Caenorhabditis elegans: one gene and its partner. The protein of the gene in region 1 purifies or fractionates together with the protein of each later gene. This does not show direct contact. Each region holds a gene or a part of one and is shown on either strand. Other genes may lie near its edges. The genes, in order: nasp-2 and his-67.

Evidence for each region.
Region 2: the proteins of nasp-2 (region 1) and his-67 fractionate together in Caenorhabditis elegans (co-fractionation; one large-scale study listed by BioGRID). This does not show direct contact.

What each region holds. Positions count from the first base shown.
Region 1 is NC_003283.11:13,309,452-13,314,090, forward strand, and holds nasp-2 (Tetratricopeptide SHNi-TPR domain-containing protein), read right to left. Parts: upstream 2,810-4,639; 5' UTR 2,795-2,809; coding exon 2,397-2,794; intron 2,348-2,396; coding exon 2,058-2,347; intron 2,003-2,057; coding exon 1,650-2,002; intron 1,604-1,649; coding exon 896-1,603; 3' UTR 735-895; downstream 1-734. Other genes in the region: C50B6.3 (DUF3452 domain-containing protein), read left to right, coding at 4,147-4,220, 4,273-4,435, 4,484-4,639.
Region 2 is NC_003279.8:9,987,628-9,990,467, reverse strand, and holds his-67 (Histone H4), read left to right. Parts: upstream 1-1,704; coding exon 1,705-2,016; downstream 2,017-2,840. Other genes in the region: alg-5 (Protein argonaute-2), read right to left, coding at 7-381, 426-493, 545-664; his-68 (Histone H2A), read right to left, coding at 953-1,336. UniProt on the Caenorhabditis elegans protein: Core component of nucleosome. Nucleosomes wrap and compact DNA into chromatin, limiting DNA accessibility to the cellular machineries which require DNA as a template.

The DNA of each region.
Region 1 (4,639 bases):
TTTCACTGGACTCTGGCTTCCCGGTTCACCTTCTACAGTTCATAATTACGTTAATTGCTTCTCTTTGAAGACCATTGACATTAGGGGGTAATTTCCCCTAATGTCATACATCTCTTATCTTTTCGCAATATGATAATAAGAGATATGTTTCTCTTCTTTGAGCTTTCACATGCTCTCCGCTATATCTCGTTTCCAACATAATCATTCATAACATAAACTCACCACATCTCACGTATCAATTTATTATATAGCACAGCTTTACTTCTTTTTTCGAATTTCACATTTCATTATTGTTTCCACTGCCATTTAATACATTGTCCCACGACATTTATTTATTTTATTTTTTACTTGACTGGTTGCCTTAAACTTTAAATGCTATGTGTTTTTTCATCCACGGGTTTTATGCACGACCTGGTCCCAACACTAACAAACTTAAGAATTACTGCCGAAAAATGTGTGCGCCTTTGAGTAGTACTGTAGTTTCTACACCCATTCTACAGTACTCCTTGAAGTCGCACTTTGGAGGAATATTCATTGTTTGATTTTTGCCGTATGCTCCCACTCTCTTAATAAAACTTAAATTATAATATTCTAAACTATGAATTTCTTGAATGTCTACAGTGATGCTACGTTTTCACCCTGTAGAAGTTGGAAGCTGAATTTAATAAAATCACAAGTCGCCTTCCCATAGCTTGGAATATCTATGAGAAAAAATTGTTCACAAGAAAAAAATTAAACAAACCACGATTTTATAGCACAATTTGAATACATAATAGCAATGGAAATGAACTATAAATCCACATAGATTTAAAGTGAATGGTTGGCTGGTGAGTGGTGAAAAATGAGACCAAACGTTGTGATATTATGGCAAGAAATTGGAGAGAAAGACGACGAATTATTCGTTGATTGGTGTTGGCTCTTCAGTCGACTCCACGACCTGCTCCTCGGTGACGACAGCAACGTCGACTCCATCTCCCGATTTGCGCTTTTTGGTTTCCTCTGGAGCCTCCTCGGAAGCTGGCCGCTTAGTTGGACGACGAACCATACTGCTGATGTCAGTAGCTTCAGTTACATCAGCAACCTTGGCAAGCATAGCAGCAGCTCCTTCGAGTTCTTTCTTGGCATCTGATTTCAACTTTTCGGTTTGTTCAGCAGAGGCACGAGCATCAACGATGAAAGCATCAAGTTCTGGAATGATCCCGTCCAACTCCTTGATTTCAGACTGAATATCACTCTTCGCGTCGTCCGAGACAGTCTCCAACTGCTTCTTCAACTCCTCCGACTTGGCAATAAGGATATTCTTAGTATCATTGAAGTGAGCTGCAGCCTGTTCGAATAACGAGTCCGAGCTGAAGGCCTTAGCCAGAAGATGAGTTGTGTTTGCAATAACACGAGAAGTTGCTGGAAGATGCACCGTTTGGATCGAAATAGCTTCGGTTAAATCTTTTTGTGCTTGTTCATACTTGGAATCAGCAATTCCATGCTCTCCGAGAGAAGTGAGGACATCGGCGAGATTCAACTTCCACATCTTGATGGCTTCCCCGTCCACAGTGCTTTCGGCTGCAAGACTAGCAGCCTTCTTGTCAGCAATGCAACGAGAAGTCTGAAGTTTTGAATGTTCACACTGCCTGATATAATGTCTTAATTACCTCGAGAAGTTCCCAAGCCAACTTCATTGAATCGGCTTCATCGTCTTCGGCTTCATCGTCCTCCTCGGCTTCACCGTCAACTTCTGCGGTTTGTCCAACTTCTTTCTCGTCATTAACTTCTTCGACACCCTCCATCTCTACGTCTTCCGTTGGATCCACCGTAGCCTCATTCTCGACGACCTCCTCTTCTTCCTGATTTTGTTCGTCGGAGTTCTCAACATCCTTTTCCACACTGTCCTCCTCAGCTTCTTTTTGTTCTGTCTTGACAGCCTCGTCAGCAACGGTCTCAGGCTCCTCGGACGCGACTCCAAGAGCTTCTTCTACTTTTTGCTTGATTTCAGCTCGCTCGTCTTCTGAACATTTATTCATTGAAGAAGAAAAGAAAAATAAAACAAAACTGAATCTTACGTGGAACATCTTCAGGGTTTTCGACGATGCCGTCTTGAACTTCTTCCTCTCCCTCAGCCATCTTTGGAACGTCGGTCAATGCGTTGGCTAGCACTCTATCCTCCAGCTTTCCAACTTCAAGAAGGGCCTTTCCATAGAGGAAGTTGGCTTCAAAGGTGTCCTCATGAGCATCTCCAAAAACTTCAGCAGCAATGGAAGCAGCAACACTGAGTACGTCTACGGCCTTGTCGAAAACATCAGTCCTCATGAAGCGGCGCCCAGCAATGATATTTTCCGAGAGGCTCTTTCTCCTGGAATAAAAACCGTTGATTTGAAAAAAAAAAGACGGTAAAACTATACTTTTGCTCAGGTGAAATCTCCTCGACTGGGTTTTCTGGAACTACAAGTTCGCCTTCAATCTCTTTCTGGGAAGTTTCAGAATCTTCGATTGAAGTACCAATTGACACTTCCATTGAAGCCTTTTCGTCTTCAACCACGGCTGGAGTTTCACTCGAAGTGTTTGTCTCTTGAGCACCAGTAGATGCTTCAGCAACATCCTTAACATCGGAGGCTGCAGCTTCGGTTGGAGAGTTTTCCGATGCAGTCTTCTCGTTAGTAGTGGCGGAATCAGTGGATGGAGTAGTCTCTTCAGCAACATTAGTCATTGCGACTTTCTCTTCGCCCGTTGAGTCGACATTCTTCGCGATCGTTTCCTTATCATGAGCGATAATGTTAGTAGAATCAGCAAAAGCGCTCATTATGAAGTTAGTAGTCTGAAAATAATAGATGTGAGAAAAATAAGTGAGATGTTGTTGTAACAAAACAGTAAAGCAATAGAGAGAAACACGAATTAAAATAGAATTAACAAAATGAATGAGAGAAAAGCAAAGAGTTCACGAATGAAATTAAATTCTCATTTTCCTCCAAATGCGAAATTTTCCCGCCTTATCGTTTTTAAATTGCAAAATTTCGCGCCAAGTGCATTCTGTCTATTCTGTCGTGGCGGGACGCGGAGCCAGGGAAAGTGGCAGCGCCTTTAATTTCACTACGGTTTTATCTAATAAAGTGGACCTACCAGCTACCAGCTGTTAGCTACCAGCTCAACAGCGCTGATTATAATAATCGATTACAGAATATAGTTTGAAAATCGTGAAAAAGATTTAAGTCAAAGTTGAGTATATTTGAACTCGGATTCTCCTAGGTCGTCTGTCATCCTTGTCGAAGCAGATATATCGTTCCATTTTCATTATTGATGACGTCGAAATCAATTCATTTTTCTAAATAATTCTCAACTCTTCACACTCAATAAAACATGAAGACAACAAAGAACTATTGAAGAGAGACTGCGGTTTCCTACAGCGATGAAGAAATATTTTTGAATCATGGAGATCTTTACAGAAATAAAATGTTACAGGACCGAAGTCGGAAGAAGATGCTTCCACTTCAGGTCATTTTTATCCGCTCCAAAAGGACGCCATCTAAAATATCTTTTTCCCCATGAATTAGAAAAACATTATATTCGGATCGGTGCAGAAATCACTGGATGCCATGAGACATCAGGTGTTTATGAGCTTTACAAAATTCCCCTTTTTATAATCATTCTTTTGGTGTTCAATTAGAAGAAACCTAATTATTTCGGTGGCATCAAGACAATGTTCCTTTTTTGCCAGAGTTTGAAAAAGTTTTCGCAAAATTTAATTGTTACCATAAGCAACGATGCTCCGATATTTCGGTTGCGCCTTGTTTAATGTCAATCGATTTCTAGGCCGTCGGCCGTGTACTCCTCGTGAAATATTTTCGCAATGATGCTTTTTAAAATGCTTCTCATGATTTTTTATTGCTTATTTAATGAATTCTTACTTTTAAATTTAGAATTGTCAGTTAAAATATTTATTTTATAACCATCTTATACATACATACATTTTTGATTCACATGAAATCCGAAAACCACTCATCTTTTGTGACAATTGTGATTTTCTTAATTTCGAAAGTATACAACTTCTAAATCTTGCTCAAATTGTTTTATTATTTTTATCATATCTTATTGAGTTTTTACGCAATCATTTTAATTAATGGAATTTCTCTAGGCGGGTCCTCACGAAATCACCCGATGGTGGAAGGCGATGTCGACGAATCGGCGTCCGGGACGTCGGGAACCAACAAGAAAATTTTGTTCACAAAAAAGTATGTTGTTAAAATATATATTCTTGATTAAAAAATTAATTAAAATTTTTAGACCCTCGGTATGGAAAGATTTTGATAATTGGATAAATGACGAGCCAGAAAATCGATACGACTTATTTCAAGTGGTAAAATCTGCAATGCTTCTTCAATCAGGATATACAACTATTTTGATGGATCAAGTAACTGATAATGGAGCTGATGAATTGAGAATATCTGTGAGTTGTTAATGTCTTTGTAGCTTAATTTCAACTAATTATTTTCAGCTAGAATATTCCAATTTCATAAAAATTGTCAATAGCACGAAATTGGTAGTAGGCAAAGAACAATGTCCACCTTCAAATGTTTTCACCCTGCTTGCGGAAATATTTGCAAATACACCCGGAAATACTTCGGAAGTCGGGCGAATCAGTACTTGGTTG
Region 2 (2,840 bases), on another chromosome or scaffold:
ACTCACATTTTAGTATCCAAGAGGAAGCTGTCGACATGTGTTAGATAGAGTTTGAATAGATTAGGTGATTCTTTTGTATTAACAACTCCTGCAACATTGATGACTGAATTATTCACTTCCTTGACATTAATCAGCTCTGTTGAGTACACAGTGTGAATTCCATCGAAAACTAACGGGCACTCGATAAGTCCGGGATTCTGTTCTTGCAGAGTTCTCAAAATCGTTCTGTTCAGCTTTTTCGACGGAATATCTGGATCGAATCGAATATAGTATTGATGAATAATCGATCCATTGCACGTGATTTGAAAATGATTGGCGAGAAGTGATAAGAATCGTCCTGTAGTGCTGGGAAGTGGCTTTCCTATCAATTTGAATGGCTCTCTGAAATTTTTAAATGTTTTAATTGTAATTTCTCAGGCATTCACCTGTTTTCTTCAATAGGATGCAGGTAGAGATCATCGGAAACTCTGGATCCAGAAGAACTGCTGAGAAACTGAAAACAATTTTATGTAATCAGCTAAATCCGAATTTTCTTTTTAAAAACCTCATTTTCCAAACTGGGCACGTTGATCGAAGTACTTCTTGATGAAGTGGAACTCCTCACTTTTAACTTTTCGACCAAATCATCATCATAAATTGCCGACAGCAACCATTGGTCTTCCATACCTGAAATTTGTTAATTTAAAAAAACTCAAACTGGAAAACGCAAAGAGACCATCGGCAATGTAAAATGCACGGTATCAGGTAAAACGGGCAACTATTCCAAAAAAATTCCTGAAAGTGAGAAGATTTCAATGAAGTTTTAACTGGTGAATTCTCCAGATTATATTTCGAATAAGAAATGAAAAATATAGCACAAATAGTTTATTGATTTGAACAAAGAGGATTTTCAGAAAATTGTGGCTCTAAAGAGGGCCGTTGGGTTCGGTGGGTTTTTGGATTCGGAAGATATTTATTCCTTATCTCCTCCGGTCTTCTTTGGGAGAAGAACGGCTTGGATATTTGGAAGAACTCCTCCTTGTGCGATTGTCACTCCGGCCAAAAGCTTGTTGAGCTCTTCGTCGTTACGGACAGCAAGTTGAAGATGTCTTGGGGCGATACGGGTCTTCTTGTTGTCACGGGCAGCATTACCGGCCAACTCGAGAACTTCAGCAGCGAGGTATTCGAGAACAGCGGCCAGGTAGACTGGGGCTCCGGCTCCAACACGTTGAGCATAGTTTCCTTTGCGAAGAATACGGTGAAGACGGCCGACTGGGAATTGAAGTCCAGCTCTTGACGAGCGTGACTTGGCCTTTCCTCCGGTCTTGGCTTTTCCTCCCTTTCCACGCCCAGACATTATGAGCGATTGGTGATCGTAAAACTAATCTGAAGAATGAACCAAGACAGTCGCTTTATATTTATTTTTACGGTGGCGGGGCGGAGTTTCCTGCGGGGACACCTCTTTTTGAACATTCGGTAAATTCCTGCGGGGACACATTTATCTCGTTTCTGCGTCTCTCTCACCTTCCTGTATGTCTCGCCTACTAGAGGCCAAAACGGCAGATATCTCTGCAGATGCAAGAGCGGCAGGCACGGAAATGTGTCCCTGCAGGATGGCGCAAACTGACTCCGCCTTTGCACCGCTGTATCTGCATAGGGAGTATATAAGAAGAACTGTTTTCCCAGTTCATCATCATTCGTGAGTCTTCAGCCAATCACTCAACAATGTCCGGACGTGGAAAGGGAGGAAAAGGCCTTGGAAAAGGAGGTGCCAAGCGCCATCGTAAAGTCCTTCGGGACAACATCCAAGGAATCACGAAGCCAGCCATTCGCCGTCTAGCAAGAAGAGGAGGAGTCAAACGTATCTCTGGATTGATCTACGAAGAAACTCGTGGAGTTCTCAAGGTGTTCCTTGAGAACGTTATCCGAGACGCCGTCACTTACTGCGAGCACGCCAAGAGGAAGACCGTCACAGCCATGGACGTTGTCTATGCTCTGAAGAGACAAGGAAGAACCCTGTACGGATTCGGAGGATAATTTCAATTGTCCTCCCGCTTCCATGCAACAACCACCGAACCCAACGGCCCTCTTTAGGGCCACAAATGATAAATCCAAACAGTCCGATTGCAATAAATGTTTATTTTCAATGCTTCAATTTTTTATCTTTTCACTCTTCTAAACGAATTTTACAGATGTTTCTCCAAACTCGATTTTCCACAAAAACGAAAAATCACGATAAAACACAAAGTCTAGACGCACAGTATAGAATTCAATTTGAATTTTCAAAAGAGTTCATTTCAAATCAGATATTACTTTTTAAAGTTATGAAAACTAAATAAATCTCCCAATAAAAAATGCGGTAATTTATATGCGTGAAATTTAGTTTTTTTTGATTGAACTCGAAGCTTCTGGCACCTAGAAAAATTACCGCGCTCTAATAATTATGAACACTCCAGGAGACCGTGTTTGATTGTCTTTTTTTGTGAAAATATTCCGTTTCCCATTGCCACCAGTTTCCCATCGTTTATTGCATACGTCCCATCACTTTTTTCTTATTTTCTGACACAATTTTTTCTTGAATTTTTAGGGTGTTTTTTTTTAATTCTTTGTAAAATTTCCATATAATTATCTTATCCCTAGGAAATAACTAGCATAATAACTCCATGCCCGACAAAAAAATATGTGATAAGGAGATAGTTCTAGGATTCAAGTAAAAAAGTTGAAGAAACGTTTTCAGAAATTAGTGCCAATTTAAAGGTGGTTCCTTCATCCTTCACATCAGCTTTTTCAACTTTTGTGGGGGCTTTGAACTGCTTTTTCGGGATTTGTCCTGTCCGAAGAGGTCATTGGGTCTGAAAATT